7 linked regions of the Canis lupus familiaris genome follow. The protein of the gene in region 7 purifies or fractionates together with the protein of the main gene of each other region. This does not show direct contact. Links are inferred from orthologs where the notes say so. Each region holds a gene or a part of one and is shown on either strand. Other genes may lie near its edges. The genes, in order: EIF3I, EIF4B, EIF3A, EIF3B, NCBP1, MKNK1 and EIF4G1.

What was found.
Region 1: the proteins of EIF4G1 (region 7) and EIF3I purify together in Homo sapiens (affinity purification with mass spectrometry; 5 studies listed by BioGRID and IntAct, counting the BioPlex papers as one, with this or other methods). This does not show direct contact. The link is inferred for Canis lupus familiaris from reciprocal best matches to the Homo sapiens genes EIF4G1 and EIF3I.
Region 2: the proteins of EIF4G1 (region 7) and EIF4B fractionate together in Homo sapiens (co-fractionation; 4 studies listed by BioGRID, with this or other methods). This does not show direct contact. The link is inferred for Canis lupus familiaris from reciprocal best matches to the Homo sapiens genes EIF4G1 and EIF4B.
Region 3: the proteins of EIF4G1 (region 7) and EIF3A purify together in Homo sapiens (affinity purification with western blotting; 4 studies listed by BioGRID, with this or other methods). This does not show direct contact. The link is inferred for Canis lupus familiaris from reciprocal best matches to the Homo sapiens genes EIF4G1 and EIF3A.
Region 4: the proteins of EIF4G1 (region 7) and EIF3B purify together in Homo sapiens (affinity purification with western blotting; 7 studies listed by BioGRID and IntAct, with this or other methods). This does not show direct contact. The link is inferred for Canis lupus familiaris from reciprocal best matches to the Homo sapiens genes EIF4G1 and EIF3B.
Region 5: the proteins of EIF4G1 (region 7) and NCBP1 purify together in Homo sapiens (affinity purification with western blotting; 3 studies listed by BioGRID and IntAct, with this or other methods). This does not show direct contact. The link is inferred for Canis lupus familiaris from reciprocal best matches to the Homo sapiens genes EIF4G1 and NCBP1.
Region 6: the proteins of EIF4G1 (region 7) and MKNK1 purify together in Homo sapiens (affinity purification with western blotting; 3 studies listed by BioGRID and IntAct, with this or other methods). This does not show direct contact. The link is inferred for Canis lupus familiaris from reciprocal best matches to the Homo sapiens genes EIF4G1 and MKNK1.

The regions. Positions count from the first base shown.
Region 1 is NC_049223.1:68,378,405-68,381,562, reverse strand, and holds part of EIF3I (eukaryotic translation initiation factor 3 subunit I), read left to right. Parts: intron 1-571; coding exon 572-721; intron 722-803; coding exon 804-931; intron 932-3,158. UniProt on the Homo sapiens protein: Component of the eukaryotic translation initiation factor 3 (eIF-3) complex, which is required for several steps in the initiation of protein synthesis.
Region 2 is NC_049248.1:44,524,659-44,528,158, reverse strand, and holds part of EIF4B (eukaryotic translation initiation factor 4B), read right to left. Parts: intron 2,683-3,500; coding exon 2,454-2,682; intron 1,386-2,453; coding exon 1,273-1,385; intron 1-1,272. UniProt on the Homo sapiens protein: Required for the binding of mRNA to ribosomes. Functions in close association with EIF4-F and EIF4-A. Binds near the 5'-terminal cap of mRNA in presence of EIF-4F and ATP.
Region 3 is NC_049249.1:29,589,181-29,592,104, forward strand, and holds the end of EIF3A (eukaryotic translation initiation factor 3 subunit A), read right to left. Parts: intron 1,729-2,924; coding exon 1,499-1,728; 3' UTR 501-1,498; downstream 1-500. UniProt on the Homo sapiens protein: RNA-binding component of the eukaryotic translation initiation factor 3 (eIF-3) complex, which is required for several steps in the initiation of protein synthesis.
Region 4 is NC_049227.1:14,926,890-14,929,923, forward strand, and holds part of EIF3B (eukaryotic translation initiation factor 3 subunit B), read right to left. Parts: intron 2,582-3,034; coding exon 2,443-2,581; intron 570-2,442; coding exon 444-569; intron 343-443; coding exon 265-342; intron 1-264.
Region 5 is NC_049232.1:55,290,732-55,294,231, forward strand, and holds part of NCBP1 (nuclear cap-binding protein subunit 1), read left to right. Parts: coding exon 1-22; intron 23-1,369; coding exon 1,370-1,480; intron 1,481-2,403; coding exon 2,404-2,468; intron 2,469-3,500. UniProt on the Homo sapiens protein: Component of the cap-binding complex (CBC), which binds cotranscriptionally to the 5'-cap of pre-mRNAs and is involved in various processes such as pre-mRNA splicing, translation regulation, nonsense-mediated mRNA decay, RNA-mediated gene silencing (RNAi) by microRNAs (miRNAs) and mRNA export.
Region 6 is NC_049236.1:13,964,345-13,967,844, reverse strand, and holds part of MKNK1 (MAP kinase-interacting serine/threonine-protein kinase 1), read right to left. Parts: intron 2,673-3,500; coding exon 2,571-2,672; intron 490-2,570; coding exon 392-489; intron 1-391. UniProt on the Homo sapiens protein: May play a role in the response to environmental stress and cytokines. Appears to regulate translation by phosphorylating EIF4E, thus increasing the affinity of this protein for the 7-methylguanosine-containing mRNA cap.
Region 7 is NC_049255.1:17,363,489-17,367,426, reverse strand, and holds the start of EIF4G1 (eukaryotic translation initiation factor 4 gamma 1), read right to left. Parts: upstream 2,801-3,938; 5' UTR 2,655-2,800; intron 1,835-2,654; 5' UTR 1,778-1,834; intron 1,555-1,777; 5' UTR 1,521-1,554; coding exon 1,461-1,520; intron 1,223-1,460; exon of another isoform or gene 1,163-1,222; coding exon 1,076-1,162; intron 570-1,075; coding exon 549-569; intron 1-548.

The sequences.
Region 1 (3,158 bases), on a different chromosome or scaffold from region 7:
GCGGAGAGTATGTTTCATTTTAGCAAACTCAGGTAGCAGTGGGGAGTATTGGAAGAACAGACCAAATACATGGGAGCCTATTAAGCTGCTCCGTTTAGTAAATATTTACTGGGCACCCAATTCTATGCCAGGTCTCTGCTGGGTTCCTTTTTTTTTTTTTTTTTTTTTTTTTTTTTTTTTTAGCAAAGTGATAGAAGTTTATTAAGCAGAGATACGGAGATACAGAGGAAGCTCTCAGAAGTGAGAGGGGTCCCGACAGGGTTCCCTCTCTGCTGGGTTCTGGGGACATGCAGAGAAATTAGAGCAGATCCTTGTTCTAGAGGAATGCATTCTGAGAAGACATATGTATTGCAATTCACTATGAGCAGTGCCATAGGAACAGGATGTCTGGGGAGAGATGGTGGGGAGCAAGTTAAAAATCTTGAGCCAAAGCCTAGCAGTGAGGAGGAAGTAGGGGTGGGTTTTGGTCACTAGAGCAGGAGAAATAGTAGACAGGAGGATAGGCGTATGGAGAGTGTCCTCCCCTTGATGGCATTAGGCAAGGGGTAGCCCAAACTCTGCTTGTCTCCAGGGAAGCAGCTGGCCCTACTCAAGACCAATTCAGCTGTCCGGACGTGTGGCTTTGATTTTGGGGGCAACATCATCATGTTCTCCACGGACAAACAGATGGGCTACCAGTGCTTTGTGAGCTTCTTTGACCTGCGGGATCCAAGCCAAATCGGTGAGCCAGCACTAGGGCATTAGGACTGGGGTGAAGGGTGTGGCTCCAGAGCCCAAGGCCTGACATCTTCTACCCCACACAGACAACAATGAGCCCTACATGAAGATCCCTTGCAACGACTCCAAGATCACTAGTGCTGTTTGGGGACCCCTGGGGGAGTGCATCATCGCGGGTCATGAAGGCGGGGAGCTCAACCAGTATAGCGCCAAGGTGAGGAGGTGGGTGGAGCCCCAAGCCCACCAGAATGATTCCCTTCAAGAGTCAGGATAGCACAGTAGTGAAGAGCAAAGATTGGGTTCAAATACAGATTTTACCACTTTTTGGTTATGTGAACTTGGCCAAATTACTTCACTGAGCCTGTTTATATATGCAAAATGTTCCGAGGATCAAATGACATAAGGCATTTTAAAAACTTGTCACAGGATACTCTGGATATATGGGTTGTTTTTTGTTTTAAGATTTTATTTATTTATTCATGAAAGACACAGATCAGCAGAGATATAAGCAGAGGGAGAAACAGGCTGCCTGCAGGGAGCCCAGTGTGGGACTTGAACCCAGGGCCCTGGGATCACAACCTGAGGCAAAAGCAGAGGCTCAGACACTGGGCCACCTAGGTGCCCCTACTCTGGATATGTTAATAGTGATCATAAATAAGCATTTTCCTGCCACCACTGAGTGCCAGGCCTTGTGTTGGGCTCTAAAGAAAAAGACCTGAATCAGACATGGGCCCTGCCCCCAGGGAGACAGACTGGCAAACAGCTAGCATGAGTCAGGTTGGAAGTTGTGCCAACATAGAGGTCTCAGCCAATTACATTAAGTGCCCTCTGTCATAGAGAAAGTGGCACATACGTTAACCCGTGAAGAATAAATGGAGCTTTAAGCAAGAAGGGAAGGCCATTCCACAGATGGGAAAAACAGTACACACAAAAGCAGAATTAAGGGAATAGGGGGATTGTTCAGGGAAGGGTCTGGGGTTTTTGGGACATGGCATTGGAGAAAGTGGATAGCAACTAGATTTTTTTTTTTTTTTTTTTTTGAGTGTCAGGAGGTAAGGAACTGATTTTTCTGTATGCAGTAGGGAATCTCTCTCTCTCTTTTTTTTAAGGTTATTATTTATTTGTTTGTCTATTTGAGAGGCAGAGAATACAAGCAGGGTGGGGAGGAGCAGAGGGAGGGGGAAGCAGACTCCCCACTGAACAGGGAGCCCAACATGGGGCTTGAACCCAGGACCCTGAAATCATGATCTGAGCCAAAGGCAGATGCTTAACTGCCTGAGCCATCCAGGTGTCCCAGTGGGGAATCTTTAAATGGTTATTGGTGATCAGATTTTCTCTTTATAAGGCTTTTGCAGGCTCAGTTCAGAGAATGGACCTGAATGAGGCCATAGCTCTCGGGATGTGGAGCACCTGACAGAGTCAAGAGATATTTAGGAGTGACTTGATGAGATGGAGAGTAAGCCTGGGCTGCCCTGGATTTCTCTTGGGTACCTGGGTTCCTGGACAATGCTGGCATGTACTATGATAAAGTTTAGTCGTTCAGCAAACGCTGACTATAGTCCACCAGACCCCAGACCTACCCACAGGCAGGTAATGGAAACCAAGGTCAAAGGCATACATAAAGCTTGTTGCCAGCAAATAGTGAAGCTGTTCTGTGTTGTTAGATAGGCCTGACTGCAAGACTCCTGCTTGTTCCCCAAAATACAGGAGCTGGATCTGACTCTACCATGTGTCCTCACTGATGGAGGAAAGCAAAAATACATCCTTCTCACAAAATAGATAAAAATAATTCAGGGGGGACTCCTGGGTGGCTCAGTGGTTGAGCGTCTGCTTTTGGCTCGGGGCGTGATCCCAGAGTCCCAGGACCGAGTCCCACATCAGGTTCCTTGCATGGAGCCTGCTTCTCCTGTCACTACCTCTCTCTCTGCCTCTCTCTGTGTGTCTCCTGAATAAATAAAATCTTTTTAAAAAAAAATTTTTTTTTCAGGAAAGGGACACTTGGCTGGCTTATTCAATAGAGCATGCGACTCTTGATTTCAGGGGTTGTAAGTTCAAGCCCCACAATGGGCAGAGAGCTTACTTAAAAACAACAATAAAAGTAATTCAGGAAAGGAAAGTTCTCTGAGGGCCCACTCTGTATGAGGCACAGTGCTCACAAGGCCTTTAAATCATCTGACCAATGTCTGCAGAACATAGGCCAGGTTCCTGTCACAACAAAGTCAAATAAGACAGTCTCAGTATCCCTCTGGTGACCTGGGTGGTGTACTTTTAGTAATCTTGTTTTCTAGATAGAGAAATTGAGGCAGAGAGAGGTGCTTCTGAGGGCAGACTCTAAAGCTCTGCCCTTTGTACTCTACAGGCTAGCAGGTTGCTGAATGGGAAGGGAAGTAAGGAGATGAAATGACCCTTTGAAAGATCTAAAAAAAAGCTAGACATGCAGC
Region 2 (3,500 bases), on a different chromosome or scaffold from region 7:
CGGGCTCCCGGTGCATGGAGCCTGCTTCTCCCTCTGCCTATGTCTCTGCCTCTCTCTCTCTATCTCTCTCTCTCTCTGTGTGTGACTATCATAAATAAATAAAAATTAAAAAAAAAAAATGTCTACACCAGAGAATATGTATATGTGTGTGAAGAGGACCTCTGATAAATCTCAAACCCCAGGATCCACTGAGTTAACTCCAAGTTGGAGGCTCAACACACACACACACACACACACACACACACACACACACACACACACACAATATGATATATAGGAAAAACAGGCCATCTTTTTTTTTTTTTAAAGGGCAGTAAATGTCTTCTCAAAACTAGAAGTTTTGGGATGCCTGGGTGGCTCAGTGGTTGAGCGTTTGCCTCTGGCTCAGGGTGTGATCCTGGAGTCCCGGGATCGAGTCCCACATCGGGATCCCTGCATGGAGCCTGCTTCTCCCTCTGCCTGTCTCTGCCTTTGTCTCATGAATAAATAAAATCTTAAAAAAGCAAAAAAACAAAACAAAACCAGAAAACCAACTAAATGTTTATTTTGTCAGATTCTTTCTACGTTTTAAGTGCAGCCTCCTCAGGAGGTATCAATCCAACCATCACACTTCCACCTAGTCACAAACAGACATTACCTTCCTGTTACTAAAAGGGTAGCTACTCCAGTATGAATAATTTCCAGAAAACTTCTACAACACTTGGATGAACTTCCAAATCATCTCAGTCTGGAGCCACGCTTTGAAATGCTCAAGTACAAATCAACTTAGAGGTGGGAGGAAGAAACTTAAAAAACAAAACACTGGTTCGCAATAAGGGAAGAGAGATGTTATGATTTAATAGTTCAGTTTCCAAAACACTAAAGATGTTTGTGACCAATCGATAAATTCAAGGAAGGAAGGAAGGAAAGAAAGATCAAGAGTAGAAGATCATCGCTCCAGACATTGCTCTGGTCGTACAGGACATCCAAAAAGGCTGGCAAGAGAGCTGTAGGACTGTGACTGCTCTAAATAAAGGAAAATTCTGGAATGTCAAAACAAAAAGAAGGGACAAATCTAACAGTCAAGTATACTCTTTAGTAGAAGATCATTAAACAGGTCGCCCAAGTCTCTTCTGATGCCATTTTCTTAGATTTTTCAGACTAGATGTAATATTCTGCTCAACCTATGCTAACCGAAATAAAGCCCCCATGACTGAGTTTAATACCCCACAGTGACTGCATAATTTGGTTATGGCTCATTTATGGAAAGAGGCAATAACACGTGATACCCACCCTGGTCTGACTTACTTCTGCCAGTTGTGGCCGAGGTCCCAGTCTGTGATGACTCACTTCCTGTCCTGGACCGTTCCCGTTCCTGAGTCTCTTCACTTCGCCAGCTTGGGTGTCTGTACAAAGAGATTAAAAAAAAGAAAACAACTTATGTCCAGCTCACTGAAGGCCACTTTGGACCCATGCTGACCCCTCAAGAACCATCACTTCATACTCATCAGGCTTGCTGTATTTGTGGGTGGGTGTGCACATCTTGTTTCTCTCAAACCATTTGAAAGCTACAAAGATAAATACACTTTGGCTCTAAACACTTGAAGCTTCAACTAGAATGAAGAATATTCTCCTACCTAACCTACAGCCCTCCCTTACTGGTAACACAACTCTAAAAGCCATTTAAAACTAGGCCATTTTACAGGTTTCTACCCCATTAGATCCAATGCCACTTTTTAATAACAAACACTTCACTACCGACTCCTTTACCATCCTGAAATATCCTTAAATAATATACCTGACATAACACACGAGTAAAAATAAATGTAAAATAATTTATATATAGTTTATGTTTTATAGAAGTAAAAACATTTTCTCTTTATTCCAGCAACTCGAATAGAGGCACTTCCACTCATCTCATAATGGTGGCTTTACCCCATATACTAAAGCAAGATTTGGTCAATTTTTTAATGGGTCAGATAAATTTTATTTACAAAATATGGAACAGCACTGGGGCACCTGGGTGGCTCAGTTGGTTAAATGTCTGTCTTCGGCTCAGGTCGTGATCCCAGGGTCCTGGGATGGAGCCCCGCATCGGGCTCCCCGCTCAGCAGTCCGCTTCTCTCTGTGCTCTTTCTCAAATAAATGGATTTGGGGCGGGGGGAGGAATAGGCCGTAATTTGCCTACTCCTCTATTAATCGATCATCAATTTATAGTTGTCAGAAGTTAAGCCCAGTTAAGCCCCTTTAAAAGCCACGAGGGCCGGCAGGCAACTAACTCTTCATAGGGTTCAACTGTCCCATATACTGCAGCGCACCTACTGGCCCCAGCCTGTGTACACTAGATGCTATTAAGTGACAACTAATAACGCCTGCATGAATTTCCCAGATGTGCCCTGGGATGTGTACCACACCCGTCCTTCAGGAAGCAATTCGTTCCCAGATCAGAGATCCGTAACTGAAGAGAGCCTCACCTCTCTCGAGGCCGTCGCTCTAGTTTTGGCTCATCCAGCTGGCGCTGCAGCTTCTCCTGCTCCTTCTGCAGCCGCTCTTCTACTTCTCGCTCTCTAGCAGCTGTGTCAACAGGCTTTGCCCCTCCAAAGATAGAGGCCGCTCGACTGGACTGGGAGGTGCTAGCGGAGGAATCATCTTCCTTAGGAGTACTCCGAGGCTTTAGATTCAGTTTGGGTCTTTGGGGGGGACCTAAGTTAAATAAAACTCTAAGTAACAGTTTTTCAAAATCCTCAGAAGCTGATGGCCAAAAGTCAGATGCCCAGACACAGCTCTTAGAAAATGCCACATGGGGGGACATGTGGTTGAGCATCTATCTTTGGCACAGGTTGTGATCCCATGGTCCTGGGGTCAAGTCCTACATCAGGATGCCCGCGAGGAGTCTGCTTCTCTCTACCTATGTCTCTCCCCCTCTCCCTGTGTCTCTCACGAATAAGCAAGTAAATAAAAATCTTAAAAGAAAAGAAAATGCCACACGGGAGAGTAGCAGCCTAGCCAATCCAGTAGAGAAGGGAGAGCATTAGAAAATAAATGGGTGGTTTAAACAACCAAGGACAATCAATCTTCCCACTACGCCACCCATGAGGCTGTGCTACACACTGAGGACTTACATGGTGAGTCATCACAGCTACTATTACTAGGAAGAAATGGTCAACTATGATAAACTACTGGATGCAAGTATCTTGGTAAAAAACGTGGTCTGGAAGATGAACTACTTCAGGAGGCTGAGAAGAGCTTGTGACAATACAACGGGAAAGACTCTACTTCCTATACTCTTGGCTCTGTGTGGAATCTAAATCTCATAATGATTCATGGAGCAAAGCATACAGTACCAAATGGCTAAATATAAACTCTAAAGGAATTTGATTTCTCCTTGGATCCAAACTGTCAGAATATTTTAAGACAAACCTTAGTGTTTCAAGGGAATTGTATTTCTCAAAATTAGTGTTTATCCTAAATAATTTCAAACATACAAAAGATAAAGCTTACGTATACCAACCACTGGCTTA
Region 3 (2,924 bases), on a different chromosome or scaffold from region 7:
TTGTTTGAAATACTAGATATTAAGAAAATTAAATGTTGAAAAAAGTGGTTTCCATCACTGTTAACATCAAACAGAAAAGGCTGCATCTGATTATTTTTAAAAAAAGCTTCAGTACTCCCTCTTCTGGCCTTATTAAATAGCTGTGCCAACAGGAGTTCTCACCTCCGCTCAATCTTGGAAGTAATTCACATGTCTGTAGCCACTATCAATTTGCTACTAATATTCTCTAATTTCAGAGGAATACTGAAAGAGTAAACCACCCACCCACCCACATATACAAGCTCACAGAGAGGACAGCGTTACAAGGAAACTAAGGGGTTCCTCAATTAAGGAAGGAAACATCCTAGCCACATTTGTTTTCTACTTGAGTTATTTTTTGCTCCTAAATACGGAGACATTTAATGTCAACCAAAAAAACTCAAATTCAACACAATATACAAAAACTCATCATTAGTAAGTAATAAAAACACTTTGGCTGTAACTACAAATCAACACCAAAACAAATTCTGTAAGTATTTTATTTATCACTGAAGAAAAAACACAGCAGCAAGTTCTGTGTTGGCTTCAATAAGACCAAATTAGTTAATCTCTGACATAGCTACGACATTCCAAAATTGAAGTCAACACAGTCATTACTACAAATTACTTGTTGAAAGAATCTATCCTGAAGAGAAAGGAAATTAGGAAAAAGAATTTAAACAATTCCTCCAAACCACACATTTATAAATATTGTCATATTTAAAATGCTTGAAAGGCATGAATTCTCCATTAATGGAAAAGCAGTTTGCTATTGGCAACAGAAAAGACTCAGCAACAGTTTTACCAAATGCTTTAAAATTTAAAAGCTTTAATTGTTTTGGATTCACACTTGAGCAGTATTCTTGTCATTTCAGTGACTGCAAATTGCTTTATACTCACCTCTCAAGTAAAATCTACAGAAAATCCCACTGTATCCAATGTCTGTAATGTTTACTGCACTTATAGCGAACCTAAAAACTTTCTAAATGTAGTTAATATAGTAAATACCTCAAAATATCTAGAGGTATGTCTCAACCGCTAATGGTGTGGAAGTCGTTTCAGCCCCTGCTTTGAAGAGTCTTCAAATACATTTTCTTTAACAGAATCATACCTCATTCCAAATTAATATAGTATTTCAAAAACAAAAGAAAAAGATCAGTTCTATACCAAGATACAGGTGTTACTCCATACCTGACGGGTTCACATTTTAAATTTATTTTTTAGTTTTTCTTTTTTGTAAACAAATGATTGATGAAATAATGCAACACCTTAAATTCCAGAAAATGGCCTGGCAGTCCAACCTCCTGTGGACACGGTGCACGATCAATCTATTATAGAGGATTAATACAAGTTCATGCTTTTTGTGTTATGGTGAGACAACATTAAAGAATCCAATTTAGACTGGTTGAAGCACAAGTATAATAATCCTTGAATGTGATCAAACATATGAGACATAAGTCTGAATCCATTATCTTGAGATTTAACGTCGTACCGTGGTCCATCCATCTTCATCAGTCTCATTTTTAGTACGACGAAGAGATTCCCTATCTTTCTCAGCTCTCCATGAGGTTTTCTCTTTTTCACCTTCTCTTTCCCTGTCTCGGTCTCTTTCTCGGTCTCTTGAAAGAGCAGGGGGAGGAACACGACGAGGGGCTTCCCGCTCTTCGGCCCGCTCATCTTTCCTGTCATCAGCACGTCTCCAAGAACTTACTAAAAATTTTAATTAAAAGAAAAAGAAAGTAAATTTATACTGTATTGTACTGGTTCAGACTAAACAGAACTTCAACAAAAGGAATGCTTCCAATTACTCAGAAATCCTATATATAAAGGTAACCACAGAGAATCCCCATTTAAAAAAACAATCTAAATATATTTTAATCATTTTGATACAATTTTTGGCAAATTCTTCATAGCAATACACTTGAGAACTCAAATTTGAAACCATTGGCCTGGGAAGTATCCTAATGGTTAAAATAATTTAAGACAAAGTGACAAAAATCTGAATGAAAAATTTTAAAGGGACACCTGGGTAGCTCAGCAGTTGAGCATCTGCCTTTAGTTCAGGTTGTGATCCCGGGGTTCTGGGATAAAGTCCCACATCGGGCTCCCAGCATGGAGCCTGCTTCTCCATCTGCCTAAGTCTCTGTCACTCTCTCTCTCTGTGTCTCTCATGAATACATAAAATGTCAAAAAAAAATTTTTTAATTAAAAAATTTGCTTTTGTTGAGTAAATCATAAAAGCAAAAATGGCCATAAGGACTGCATTATACCTTTACTTTACAGGTATCATATATGAAAAACCCTTATAATCCCATTGTACAAATGAAACATTTAAAGTTTGAGATAAAAAAAAGTTCGAGATAAGTACTTAGTTAAGTGCATTGGCCATTTTCAACATTAAAAAAATTTTTTTTTACTAAAGTTTCAACTGTCACAATTTCAGAGAAAGAATGCTTTACACTGTGCTTACCTACCAAGACTTTACTTTTAAACACCGACAAATTATTTCCTAATTACACAGACTTTTTTTTTTTTTTAATTTTTATTTATGATAGTCACAGAGAGAGAGAGAGAGGCGCAGAGACACAGGCAGAGGGAGAAGCAGGCTCCATGCACCGGGAGCCCGATGTGGGATTCGATCCCAGGTCTCCAGGATCGTGCCCTGGGCCAAAGGCAGGCGCCAAACCGCTGCGCCACCCAGGGATCCTCTACACAGACTTTTAAAGCAATATATGTTTACCATCCAATTAGCCTACTACTATACTGTGAATTTAAATAAAAACTTCACATAGTGACTACTAAGTTTATAAAAACTGATTTTTTTTTAAATTTATTATTTTACAGAGAGGGAGGGAGAGAGAAAGTGAGCTGGGGGAGGGGGCAGAGGGAGAATCTCTTTTTTTAAA
Region 4 (3,034 bases), on a different chromosome or scaffold from region 7:
ATGGCTGCCGTGAGGACCCCTCTATTCACAGAGGCTTTCAGGTCAGGACTGGAAGGACGTGCTCTCTTCCATCCCCTCAACTCAGGACCAATCCCTCCCGCATCTGGATGGCCAGCCACCCAGAGGTGCAGTAGGGTCCCACTAGTCTGTGTGCACGGCAGCAACACAGCAAGCACCTGCAGCAGATGAGCAACCCCCACGCAGACACTGCCATCCCCTCAGGCCTGGTGCTGGCCCTTCCCTCAGTCGTGGGAGGAGGCTAACCTTTGAGGCTTTGGATTGGCTCAGACGATCCTTCTGTTCAAAGATCTTGGAGTATTTCTTCAGATCCTTTTTAATTTGCTGAAACAAAAACAAAGATGAGCCACCCAGAATTTAAACATTCAAAGCAAGAACCACAAATGAGAAGTTCCACATTCCCTTGACCCCAAGGGACCCTAGACCTTTATCTGATCCTGGCTCAGGAGCGTGGGGGGCCGAGGTCTCCACAGGAGCTGGCAAAAGCGGTCCTTGTTGTTCTTCTGCAGGAGGCGTCCTTGGAAAGTCCACAGCCAGTAAGCGTTGTCCACCTGCAAGAGGGCAGAGGCGCAAGCACTGCTCAGTGCCCTGAGTCATGGCAAGATGCAAGGCTCCAGGCACCTGTACCCTCACAGCACCAACCAAAACAAGCATCTCCTCCCGGTAGTCTGAGGGCCAACACCTGACAGTGCTGTAGGTATCTGGAAGAGACCTAAACACAAATCTCTGCTTCCCAAGCCTGCATGCAGCAGGGGGAATGTAGTCCTTAAACCCAACAGGAAGACACCGTGCACCGTGCAAATAGCAGCAAGGACGGGCTCCCATAGCACGGGCTCTTTACTGGCCTGCAACCGGGAGCTCAAGCCAGAATATACACTAACCATGCCACGTAACACACCGTTTAGCTCAACTGGCATCTTTTCCATGGTGACACTTTCCCAAAGAAGCAGGATCTGAATTTACATGCTGGTGTGATCCTGTTGCAGACCAGCACTTTAGGAGTGTGTGGCATCTGACAAGAGCTCAACATTCTAAGAGATTTCAGCAACAGGCAGCACCCAAACACGTGCAGACATGCTCAGGAACAATCAGTGTGCTATTGCCAACATACAGATCATTCAAGATGCTGTGTTCAGTGGGGTTTGCTGAGCCTGAGCTGCTCTACATTCCTACGTCCTTACACAGAACTGCCCAAGCTTGAGCTCTCGGGTGCACAAGCTGGTTCAGGATCAGCTCAGGATCTTGATCAGCGAGAAACAGTCACTAAACGTAAAAGAGGACTGGCAGAGCAGTGGGCGAGGGAGCACCGCTGCAGACACACCAGCACATGCACACACAGAACGGGCTTTGTACACACGCTCTCGCGCTTATAGAACATGGCAATTCTTAAGTTTTTCAGATACGGACATTTGAGATTAAAGAAACATATACACACAGGTGTTCACAGCCTTTCAGGAGCCCTGAAGGTAGTGGCCCTCCTCTGGTGGCTATGTGCTGCTCAGTCACCCAGCAAAGCCAACTAACAAGGACCACATGCCAGGCAGAGCCACAGAAAAGGCCCCTGGCCACACAATGCTGTGCCCTGGCAGCAAAAACAAGAAAGGAAGGGGTAATAAGTACTGGGAAAATCCAGAGTGGGCAGGCTGAGTGGCGTCCCGTGGCAGAAGCACCATGCGCACAGGAACTACATTCCAAGCAGAAGAGATATACAGAGGCCATGTATGGTCAGGCCACACAAGCGGAGGGAGCCACAGAGAGTCTACTGAGCCGGGCACCTGATAAAGGGGGTCCAAATCGCAACCTTCATGAGGATGAAATAAAGAGTGTGGATGGCAAAGCACATCCTCCTTCTGCCTCCATCCAAGCCAGAGAGGCCAGTGAGGGAGTGAGTGCTCAATGGTGGGTGGGGGAGAAACTATACCATGAAGAGGTCCCAGGCCCCGGCACAGAGGAAAGGGGCCTGGGCACAGGCTGCCGTTGGCCTAAGACATGCTCCGACTTAGTAAAGAGATACCAAGTAATGCCAACCAAGTCATGAAGAACTGGCTGCCTCACGTGCGCTGCTGAAGGGCTTTCTAATATTTTATTTATGAGAAAGACAGAGAGAGAGAGAGAGAGGCAGAGACACAGGCAGAGGGAGAAGCAGGCTCCATGTGGGGAGCCTGACGTGGGAGTCGATCCCAGGACTCCAGGATCCAGGATCAGGATCAGGATCACTTCACCCCTGGGCTGAAGGTGGTGCTAAACCGCTGTGCCACCCAAGGAATCCCCTCAAGGGCTTTTTGAAGCAGCTGGGCAGGGCAGCAAAGAACAACTAACAGATCACCAGCAGTGCCCACCCCAAGGAGACCCAGGAGAAGGGGTGACACCAGGCCTATCACAGCCAAGTCTCACACTGCACCCAGGCTACACAGGACCCCATACCTTATGGCTCCACCAGGACACAGAGGTGACAACGTAGCGTCCAGTAGGGTCCCACTCCACGTCAGAGGCCATGTAGTGCTCTGCAATGTTCATGACTGTACAGTCCGAGGTGTCAACAAAAGCCAAGGCACCATTCATACTGGGGAGACAGAGCATGGTCAGCATGCACAAAGAACCCCATCTATGCATACACCATCATGGTATCCTGCTACTTCAAGGCTCTAGGGTGGGCTTGGGAGCCTCGGGCATTCCTTGCCTGCTAACTCATCATTAAGGAGGAAGTGATCCAGGACCCCTCTCTCTCCTAAGATTGTTGGGAATGGAGACGTGGAAAGGATACGTGGTAGAACCATGAGTGTGTGGAGTAGTTTTCATTGCAATTACCTGAGGCCAAACCTCTAAAACACAGTAAGCATCACCCATAAAGTCAGGAAAGCGAACCATTGCGTGTTCTGTTAACACACAGGCAGACACAGGATCTTCATACCCCACACGCTGCTGAGATGGCAGGAGAGCAAGGAGCACAGGAGGGTTAGCACTGCCACAACTCATGGTCACACTGCACAGAGACTGGCTCATAGCCATCTGCTTA
Region 5 (3,500 bases), on a different chromosome or scaffold from region 7:
CTTGAACTACCACATAGTTGAGGTATGTGTTCCACATGGAGCATGTTTCTAAGTTTCAGAATCTTTCTATGGATTTGAAAGTTAATAACTCTTGGCTTTTTTTTTTCCCCTTGCAACTTGTCAGGTACTGAAAATTAACACAGGAGCAAGAAAATTGCTGTCAATTTTGTGCTCTCTTAGCCATGTTAGTAAAAACAAAAGTGGAGGTTGAGGCCAGTAGCCAAATGGAATTTTGCAGTGCCTCTAAATTATTTATATAGCATGTCTTCATTCATGGATAGTATAAGTTACCTCCAGTCTTGTGAGTACACTGTCCACTTATCAGATAGATAATTGGCTTGAATACTTTAAAATACCATATTACATAGGCAGATAACTGTGTTTATCTGGCCTCTTATTACCAGCATACCCCTGACTAGTATATTATTATTCCCTGTATCACACGGTAGGGAGAGATAGGAGTCTTTATTTATTCCTAGAAATTAGAAGAGCCCATTGTTTTTGAAAGTAGGAAGAATCAATAATACTTTCGACCCCATATCAAGTCATGCGGAGGGGTGAACACCTTGTAGAGGTTTAAGTCTCAAAATAGCATTCACTTATTATTACAGATTCACTTACTGTTCATACATGTATTTGTGTGCTTCCCCAAAAGTACTGCATTTGTCCTATCTTATAAAACTTTAAGAGTGTATTTAGGCTATGAACTTGACTCATTGACACGTCAGTTGAAATGCAAAATATAGGTCATAATTTCGAATCTGGAAAGTGTAAAATTTTATCAGAAGGGAATACAGAGGGATGGGAGATGGGAATGAGAAGAAAGAATGCAGACCAGGTTTTAGAATTCTAGGTAGGTGGTTCATGAATTATATAGGGAGGGCAGAAACAAGTTTCTGAACAACAGCGGTGGCAAAGTAATCTTTTTCTACCAAAGAGATTGCCAGGCACTGGTTTTTAAGTAGCAGCCTGGAATGACTTGACTATCTTCTGTTCCTGTCTTCAGAATCTAATGAGGGTTTTTACTGCTTCTAGGAGTGAAACTGATGGATCAGTGAGTACCTGCCTGAATCAACTCTGATACTTCCAGAGTAGGAATTTAATTGCACTATTCTCTGGGAGTATCAAATAAGCATTAATTTCTGCATATTCTTATTTGATTGAGTTATAGAACGATGAAATTTTCATTACAGTATTCAATTGCAAATCTCCATGTCTTAAAGAGTATAGTTTCTAAAGATTATAAAGTAATTATTTTTTCATTATGAATGCCATGGAGTTAAAGAGTTTACGTTTAAAATGTTGATCTTTCTGATGGAAGTACAAAGATACTTGTTGAACAGCATTCTGACTCATGGTTCTTTTATAGGTGATTTTTGCAGAGCTGTTTCAGCTTCCAGCACCCCCGCACATTGATGTGATGTACACAACACTGCTTATCGAGCTGTGCAAACTCCAGCCTGGCTCTCTACCCCAAGTTGTATCCTTTCCTTTGTTTTTAAACTTACTCTCTTTGACCTGGCTTTAAAAGATTATTAAATGTTTCTTACTGTGGGGGCCATTTCTTCAAAAGTTAAACATAAGTATACCACACAGTCCAGCCACTCCACTCCTAGGTATTTACCTAACAGAAATGAAAACACATATCCCTACAAAGACTTGGACATTAAGTTCATAGAATCTTTATTTGTGGGACACCTGGGTGGCTCAGTCAGTTAAGCGTCTGCCTTTGGCTCAGGTCATGATCCCGGAGTCCAGCGATCAAGCCCCCCGTAAGGCTCCCTGCTCTGCTTCTCTCTCTCCCTCTTCCACTCCCCCCTGTTCCTACTCTCTGTCTCTCTCTCACTCTCTCTCAAGATCTTTTAAAAAAGAAAAAACTTTATTTGTAATACCCCAGAATGAGGCAATCCAAATATCCATCAGTACATGAATGAATATACAAATTTGCCATATCTATACAATGGAAAACTACTCAGCAATAAAAAGGAACAAATTTTTGGTGCAGGCAACAACTTGAATGAATTGCAAATTAAGTAGGATGAATAAAAGTTGTCAAACAAGAATTTATACTACATGATTCCATTTACACAAAATTATAGAAAATGCAAAGTAATCCAGTGACACCAGACCAATATTTGCTTGTTGGGGGAGGAGGAAAGAGGATTACAGAAGAGCATGGGGAAAGTTTGGAGGCGATATAAATATTCACTGTTTAGTTCAGGGTTGTATACAAGTCAGATTTATTGTATATGACTGATAACTGCAGCTGTTTTTAAAAAAATCAATTACATGAAAAGATGCTCAGCATTGTTAGTCATCATGACTTCTAAGAAATGTTATGTTCTGTCACAACTTATTTTGAGGGAGGATTCAGAGTAGTTTTCCTTATCCTCAAATTCACAGCTTGCACAGGCAACTGAAATGTTATATATGCGTTTGGACACGATGAACACTACATGTGTAGACAGGTATAGTAATTGTCTTATTTCTATACTGATTGCAAGAAGCATCTATTCCCTGTACTGTATAAAAGAATTTAATCAGCAAAATATTTGCCTTTTTAGAGAATTTCTAAGTTGATTTTTCTTTCTTGTCTCCCCAAAATAACCCTTTGTATAATAATAAAATTTATAATGTAACATCATGCTTTCTACTAACTTCCAATAGGAAATGATGGCCATACTGAGGTTTTCTTTAATTTCATTCATTATTAAATTTTTTTTTTTTGTGCTTTGGTATAATTATACTTTTTCCTTTGTAATTCGGTATGTAAGATTTTAAAATAAACTTTGTACTCACCCCTGTGCACAAGCAGAACCTAATATTGTGTATTTATTATGTATAAATATATATGTATTTTTGTTTGTTTATAGATAGTATCTTTTTCTTAAATAATTAGCTTCTACATAACTACAGCTTGAAGACTCAGTTTATACAAAAGACCATTTTGGATTTTTAGAGGTGTGGTAATTGCATGTCCACTGTCTTTTGACGGAGACCCGTCTACCACTTTTATCAGCTGGTATCTTTCTTACCTCTGTTAGTGTCCACAGTCAGATCGACCCAGGTACTGAACACTTCTCCAGTTTCCATGATCTTTCGTGTCCATTGTTCAGATTGCATATCTGAAAATTATCATTAAGCACTGTATCAGACCTGAGTCAGTGATTGAAATTATAGATCTATGAGGGACATGCTCTAAGATAGCATCTTCTGATTTTTCTCCCAATCTCATAAAACTAGGAGTTGCACAACCCAATTATGTTATTGAAATTCAGCAAATATATATTGGGCTCTCGCAGATTTTACAACATTACACAGTATGCTCAGGTGATTTCTATCTAGTTAGATCAGATGTATTTTTAGGGGAAAAGATGTATATTTTGTGGTGAAAAGGGCATAGTGTGGTGATGAGACACTACACTTTGCCTCTGCCATTTATACAATTATCTGCAGTTCCTTTAATCTTTTTTTTTTTTTTTTGCCTGTTTTATTGTCCA
Region 6 (3,500 bases), on a different chromosome or scaffold from region 7:
ACAGAGAAGGAAACTGAAGGATAGAAGTGTTAAGTAATGGGGAGCCTGGGTGGGTGGCTCAGTCGCTTGAACTTTTGCCTTCGGCTCAGGTCATGATCCCAGGATGGAGCTCTGAGTCAGGGCTCCCTGCTCAGCAGGGGAGCCTGCTTCTCCCTCACCCCCTCCTTCCCTCTCTGCTTGTGCTCTCTCTCTTTCTCTCTCTCAAAAATAAATAAAAATCTTAAAAAAAAAAAAGTGTTAATTAACACAGCAAGTAAGTACAGAAACCAAGAGTTGAATCCAGTGAGAACATCTTTGGAGTCCCCATTATTACTGAGCTGCCATACTGCAGAATATAAAATTTATCTGGCTTCGGACCAGCTAAAGTCTGGCACCCAGATGAGACACTCACTTTGACAGCATACTCTTTGCCATTCTGTAGGCTCACAGCACCTTGAACTTTGGCATAGGCTCCCTCTCCAAGCAGTTCAGAGGTCAGCTTGTACGTGTCTAGAGGTGAAATGGGTGAGAGGAAAAACAAGATAAGTCATGCCTTTGCAAGCTCAGATGGACAGAAGAGCTGCTGTCACTCAGCTTCCCTGGTGTGATAGCACGGGCACACAATGACAAGGAAGACCATCAACTCTTCCAGTCATCACAGGACTCAGTTTCTCAACAGCTAGACCACATTGAAAGCATCCTGTTCCTCATTTTAGAGATGAGGTCAGTGAATTTCAGTTCTGCCCAAGCTTCCTGAGCACCTGTTATGTACCAAACAATGTATTAAATTTATTAATAGGGACAGAGTGAGGAATAAAATATAGTCCCTGCCTTTTGAGGGTCACAGTCCAGTGGGGAAGACAGACATGTAGACAAGTGACCCCAGAATAAACCGGGCAGTAGTGAGCACTACCATAAAAGGACAAGACACAGGAAAAAAAATAGGGGGAAGGAAAGGTTAGATCTGTGTAGGGAAACCATGGGATCCTCACAGAAGGAGTATGATTTCAATGGACATCATTCATTCCTTTACTCATTTGTTAAGCACCTGCTCTATGCTCTAGTTCTGTGCTAGACCCTGGTGATACAAAGGGAAATAAAGCACTATTTTATTTTATTTAATAGAAGTCACTGGAGGTTTCTGAGAAGTTTCTGAAGTCACCCACAGGAAACAGGAGACAGAAGGAGGATGCAAACGGATGCTTCGAGGTTTTTAGGGTGCTGATTCAGAGCAGTTCTAACAGAGTATTAGGCCTGGGGTAAAAGAACATTTAGGTGACCTGCCCAAGCTCACAAATAGCGCAGACTCTTTGATTCCCTTCCAAAGGAAACCACAGCTCCATCATGGCCTTTGCCAAGCTGACCTCCTTCTCCCCTAAATTCCATTCTTCACCTTTTTTCCTCTTGAGGCAGCCCAGCATTTAAACCCACAGGGTGTGCAGAATACTTTCAAACCATGAAATTAGATTTTATCACTCTTAGCATGAGAGGCTTATAATTGTACAAGTCATCCTCGAATAACAGGATATAGTCTCATGTTCACTGTAAGAGCAAGACCTGTTGATCTGGAAACTATTCTAAAAACCTTGAGACTTTTGTCCATCCCTCCCTACACCCCTATACATATATATCTACTGTTTAAGTTAAAGACAAACAGACAAACCCTACACTTAGTACCATCCTGGATCCATCATGGTATGGTCTTGCAGCTATTTATAAGCATGCACACTGTTGTTTTTAAGTATTTTAAATGACATGCTTCACTCACAATGGATACTTTGGATTAGCCTTTCATGCATGTCAGGATAGCCTGGTGGGTGGAAGTCCAATATTCATGATTCATAAAGGGCTTGTTATTGGAACCGCTCTACAAAACAATCAATTCACTAGTGTACCTACAACACTGGAAAGAGGGACCATGAGGGGAAGGTATTTCAGGTCTCACAGTGAAAGAAACACAATGGATGAGGGGGGCATATCATTCCTGGAGGAGCTACTGATCCTTTTAGGCCCTTGCAGAAGTGTTCGATGATTCACTTCATCATCACATACTCAGTGATGACAGGACCAGCACTGAGCCTGTGCCTCACACAGTGTTCAGAATCTTTGACGATCCAACATCATGTCCCCTGAACACAGCATGAACTCTTAAAATCGACTCAAACTCATACAGCACAAGTAGCTGTGATGTCTAGGAGTCAAATCCTCTGTTTATAGAAGATTTAACTTTCATTTGGAGTTGTGGCCCTTGGTGTTCTCTCATCCTCTTACATGGCTGTTCTACCTCTCAGCAGTGACTCCAGGAATGGCGGGGGAAAAGATTGCATCAGAAAAGGGCTAAAATGCACCAACCAATCTCTCTCCATACACAAGTCTGACAGATTGGTCTTTCTATCCTACAGTGAACGCTGAAACTATTCAGAGCGCACCATCCAAGAGCTCTCTCATCCCATCATTCATCCCTGTCACACAGATAAGGACGAGCTGACTCTCAGATGACGCATGCTCTGATCTAGACCTATGGGCTACCAAGATGCTCCTCTCATGCCCGGGGAGCTACAGGCCCAGATCTGAGAAGTCGTGTGACCAACCTTCAAACTTCCCTGGTAAGGAGTCAGTGGCCCGGGCCTTCCGCTTCTTCTTTTTCCTCTTGTCACCCTCTGCAATGGGAAGGGGTTCACTGCTCCCCATCTCTGGGGGAAAAGAGATGTAAGGGAAATATCACTATACTGATCAAGCCATAAGTTCACCCAGAAGGGAAAAAAAGGGGAGGGGAGGGGGGACCCAGGAGCTTTACACTGATGGTTTTTAAATATCTATGAGGACTATTGATTTGTTTGACCCAGGAGGCAAAACTAAAGGCAAAGCCATTATTGGAGATCATTAACTGTGGAAAGGAACTCAGATAGACAGGCTAGATTAAAAGAGGATAGCAGAGCCTGCTCTAACCAAGCTCATTAGCACATGGATTCAGATCTGCCACTAGTCAAACTGCAGTTTGCAATAAAAACAATGAATCCATAAGCAGCATCCCACTTGTGACGTCCTCCTGCCCCAGCACCAGAAAGGCAGGATCCAGGGAGCTACAAGGGTGTGGCTTGGGAGGGGCCCATGCAAATGAAATCATAGGCTCAGTGACACCGAGTGGATGTGCACAGGGATCCATAGGCCTCAGTGGAGTTGCCCCTGGAGGTACAATAGGACAGAGAGCGGCTCTGAGGATTGCCTAAATTACTTTATGTTTAGGAGCACAGACCGGAGTACCTGTGGGACCCCAAGGATACTCTCCCCTACTCCTCAGCTCCTAATTTGAGAGGATGTGGTCAGGTCTGTTTAGAAGTCTGAAAAGTCTGCAGTTGATGAGTCTACACCAGGCTGCTGGGTGAGGTCATTCATTGCAAAAATATTATTATCTCTCACTGGCCAGCAGGTTAAAGGGAGGCTCCCCATGTTAAAGGGAGCATTTGTGAGGCAGACATTTCAACACTGGCCACACCAGGCAGGAAAGGGTAGGGATGGAA
Region 7 (3,938 bases):
AAGGGAGGAAGTGGACATCCAAAATGGCCACTCCGCCATGTCTCTAGTCTGGAGAAAAATACTGGGGGCTTTGGAGCACGGGGGCCAATCCTCACCCACTTAACCAAACTGATGGTTAGGTGGCCTCTTGTACTCACACATACCCTCCACACTGAGGTATGCGCTTTGCACTCCACGAATATTTACTCCCTCACTACCGTGAATACTCATGTCACCTCTACCAGGCTACCCCTCTGCAAAGGCTTCCTAACACCCAGATGCATCATGCCCAAGTAAAGCCCTTTTGAGCAACATACTCCCCAGCATGCATTGCTCCACCCTAAGGTACAGAGGAGCTAACCACTAACATGCAACAGTCTCCCAGTTCCCAGATTTGCAATCTGCAAGATCTAGCCTCTAGCATGCATCAGTCAGTGTCAGACTGAGAACCTTAACAGCAAACATGTCCCCACCCTGAAGACCCCCCAGTCCCTGTGTCTAGCCCTTGACTAGGGTAGAGGTGAAGGGTGAGACCGTGAGAGGGTCCAGAATTAGCAAAGGGGTATTACCTGCAGAGACCTGAATCCTCCCTGAGAGCACATGGGGACAGGAGAGAAGAGAATTATCCCCAAGGTGATGAGAGAGAAAACAATGAAGGAAGTAGGACAAGAATGTCCCCACTTAGTGAGGAAGAATTTAGGGAACAGAGAAAGGCAAGAACCAGATGGAGTGTTTATCTCGCCACAGTCCAAAGAGAAAGAAGGGAAGGGGAGCGGAGCGGAGCAATCACAACCTCCCAGGAAAAGGAGGAAATAGGAACAGGAGTTGGCAGCAGGGCCCGAAGCGCTGCTCCCAATTCTCAAGGCACCAGGACCCCTAGTAATGCCACCCCCACCGACTACATACTCCCCAAGGGGCCAGCCACCGTAAGTAATCAACAGCACAAAGTGCAGAGCCGCATGAAAGAACACAGAGCAACTGTCAGGAAATTGGGGCAGGTACAGGGCCTCCACAGTTTCCATCCTCGGCCCGAACTGGCCTAACCTTTCCATGGCTCCCACCCAGGCCCCCTACTCCCCTCCCCAGAGCCCCTCACCTGGCGGGGCTGAGAAGGCGTGTTCATTTGTGTCGCTTGTGGCGTACTGAACACCACCGGTGCTGTCTGCCCCGGGGGAAACGCAGGCTGAAGGGGGGAGACCAGAGTTCAGCAAGAGGGGAAACCCGGGTGGGGCAGAAACCTAAGCTGGTAAAGTAAGGGGAGCAGACCTGTGGCAAGAGCTTCAGCAGTCCACATGCCCCCTCTTCCCCATGACAGCCCCTGGGAACAGCCCAGGGGCCCTGTCTCAATTTGGCAGCAGGAAGCTGCACTTTGCCCTGACACAGATGGGGGTGGGAAAATCCAGAGGTTGGAACCTGTTCCTGACCAGCTGCCTGATCTCCCCCACCCCCACCCCAGTCTCTGCTAATTCCTCCCTAATTACCTGTGGGAGTCCAGGGGATGGGGCAGGTGGGGGGCCTGTGGGCTGTGGAGCTTTGTTCATTTCATTTGGTGCCACATCAGGGTCCCCCCAGCACCTGTTGGGAAAGAGTGGAGCTCGGAAAGGGGAAGGGACCCAAGCTGAAGGCAAGCGGAGTGGGGGAAGGGTTGAACCAAGGGCTGGGTCCCACACCGAGTCTCGGAGGTGCGACCGGGGTGAAGGAGCAGAAAAGATCCAGCTTACGTCCCCACCAACACGTTGTCAAACCCGCATCACCTCCAACCACCCCCCTGGTCTGCTCAAACAGCCCCCTCACTCACCCCCTCGGTTAAGAATAAGTCCACGGTGCGGCCTACAGGTTCTGGGCATCCGAGGGCCTGGGGTTGGGAGGTGAGGGGTATCAACCTGGCTCCGCGGGGCCCAAGACCAACCAGACCGGAAATTCCAGGTCTCGCTGGCACCAGGCTCCCGGATCACAAACGGAGCTAGCAGCTTCGGCCGTGGTGTCCCCACCCCCCACCTGGGGACACCGGGTTCGGGGCCAGGCCCGGGGGCACACAAGGCACGCCTGCTGCGGGTGGCCGCGGGGGCGCCCGCACGGGGCCGGTCGCGAGGCCTGCCGCCGCCCAGGACTGGAGGCCAGGAAGGGCGGGAGTCGGGCCCTAAAAGGCCAGGCGGGCGGCGGCCGAAGAGAAGCCGGTTCCTAGCAAGCGAGGGTCGGCCCGGAGGGCGGGCGGGGCCGGGGGCTCCTCCCTGCCCGCCGCTGCCGCCTCCCTCCCCTGCGCCCTCCCTGCGCAGCGCCGGCCAGTGCCAAAGAACAACGTGTCACTTCCCGGCGGCCGGGCCGCAAAGGGGGGAGGGGGCGGTGGGCCGGGAGCCGCGGTGCCTGCGCCCGCGGGGCCCCCTCGGGTCAGGCCGGGGTGGCACCTCGCGGCCGGCGAACCCGGCGCCCCAGCAGCCCGCGGGGACCGCACATTCCGGCCCCGCGCTCCCCCACCCCCACCCAGCAGCCAGGCCGGGCCAGGCCGGGCACACGTGGGCCAGGGATCGGGCCCTGGCGGGCCGGGGCCCGGGCTTGGGCCGCGGGGCCAGGGCGCCGGGGCGGCGGCGCAGGGTGGCCGGTCCCGGCCCGGATGGCGGCGGATGCGGGGGGAGGGGGTGGGGGGGCCGGGTCGGGCCCGGACATGGCGGCTTTACCTTCAGTCTCCTTCAGTCCGCGCGGCCGAGCCCCACGCAGCCGCACAGACGTAGTCCACAACCATTTCCGGCTCCCCGCACAGATCCCGCTCGGCGGCCACCGCTTCTCCGCAGGCGCAGCCGGCGCCCCCACGTGACCGGCGCAGGGGGCGGAGCCGCGCCCGGCGCCGCGGAGTACGGCCCGCTCGCCCAGCCCCGTCACGTGACAGCCGCTGCCCGCCCCCTTGTCCCCTCCCGAACTTTGGAACTTCCAGACCGACCCCCCTCTGCGTCTCTATTCCGCGGTTCTTTTAGTTCATTCATTCTTTGAACGGGCATTTATTGAGTGCATGCTAAGTACCAGGCGAGGTGCTGGCGGGGGAGGGAGGGCGTGCTGAGAATGCCGAGATTTGTTACTCGGTCCTGCCTAAATAAGTCACGATACAAATGCGCAAAGAAGTACACACTGGGCAGCCTTTGAAAATAAAGCGATTGAAATACTTACTAAGTTGAATGCGAGGCTAAAAAGGATTGAAACATTTTAAGGAACTAGTTAAGAGTCGATCTTTTGCTTTACAGAGATCAGCCACTCCCAGGGAGGGACAGAAGTCAGTCACGGAAAATTCAGAATAACGAAGGAAGAAGTAATCCCAAAATTCCTGCCCTGCAGCCAAAAGACTTTTGGCACCCGGAGGAATCGCCCTAGAGCCAAATCCAGGTACTCAGATATCCGAGGTTTTAATCCAAACCCTACTTCCTGGCCAGGTCACTTACTACCTACTATTACCTATTCTTGTAAAATGGGAAGGCTGGAAACCAGGCAGTCTGGCTCAAGTCCGAGCTTTTAACCGCGGTGCTTTCTCTCACAATAACATCCACACTATTGGATTGTGAAGATTAGAGTTAATTTATGTGAAAAGGGCTCGAAACGGTGCCTATGTGCTTACATACGTGGCAAAGACACTCTTGTGCACGATCTGTGGGTGTGCATGTGTGTATGTGCACACATACAATCTCAGAAGAAAACATTTTCTCTGTACCAATGATAATGTGGTCAATTAATATATATGACCTATGTGATCTCAATCTTCACAATTTTCTATAAAAACAGATTGCATTGGAGCACCTGAGTGGCTCAGTGGTTGAGTGTCTGCCTTTGGCTCAGGCGGTGATCCTCCTGTCCTGGGATCGAATCCCACATCGGGTTCCTTGCAGGGAGCCTGCTTCTCCCTCTGCCTGTGTCTCTGCCTCTTATTTATTCACAAGAGACAGAGAGAGAGAGAGAGGCATGAGTGAATTATTCAC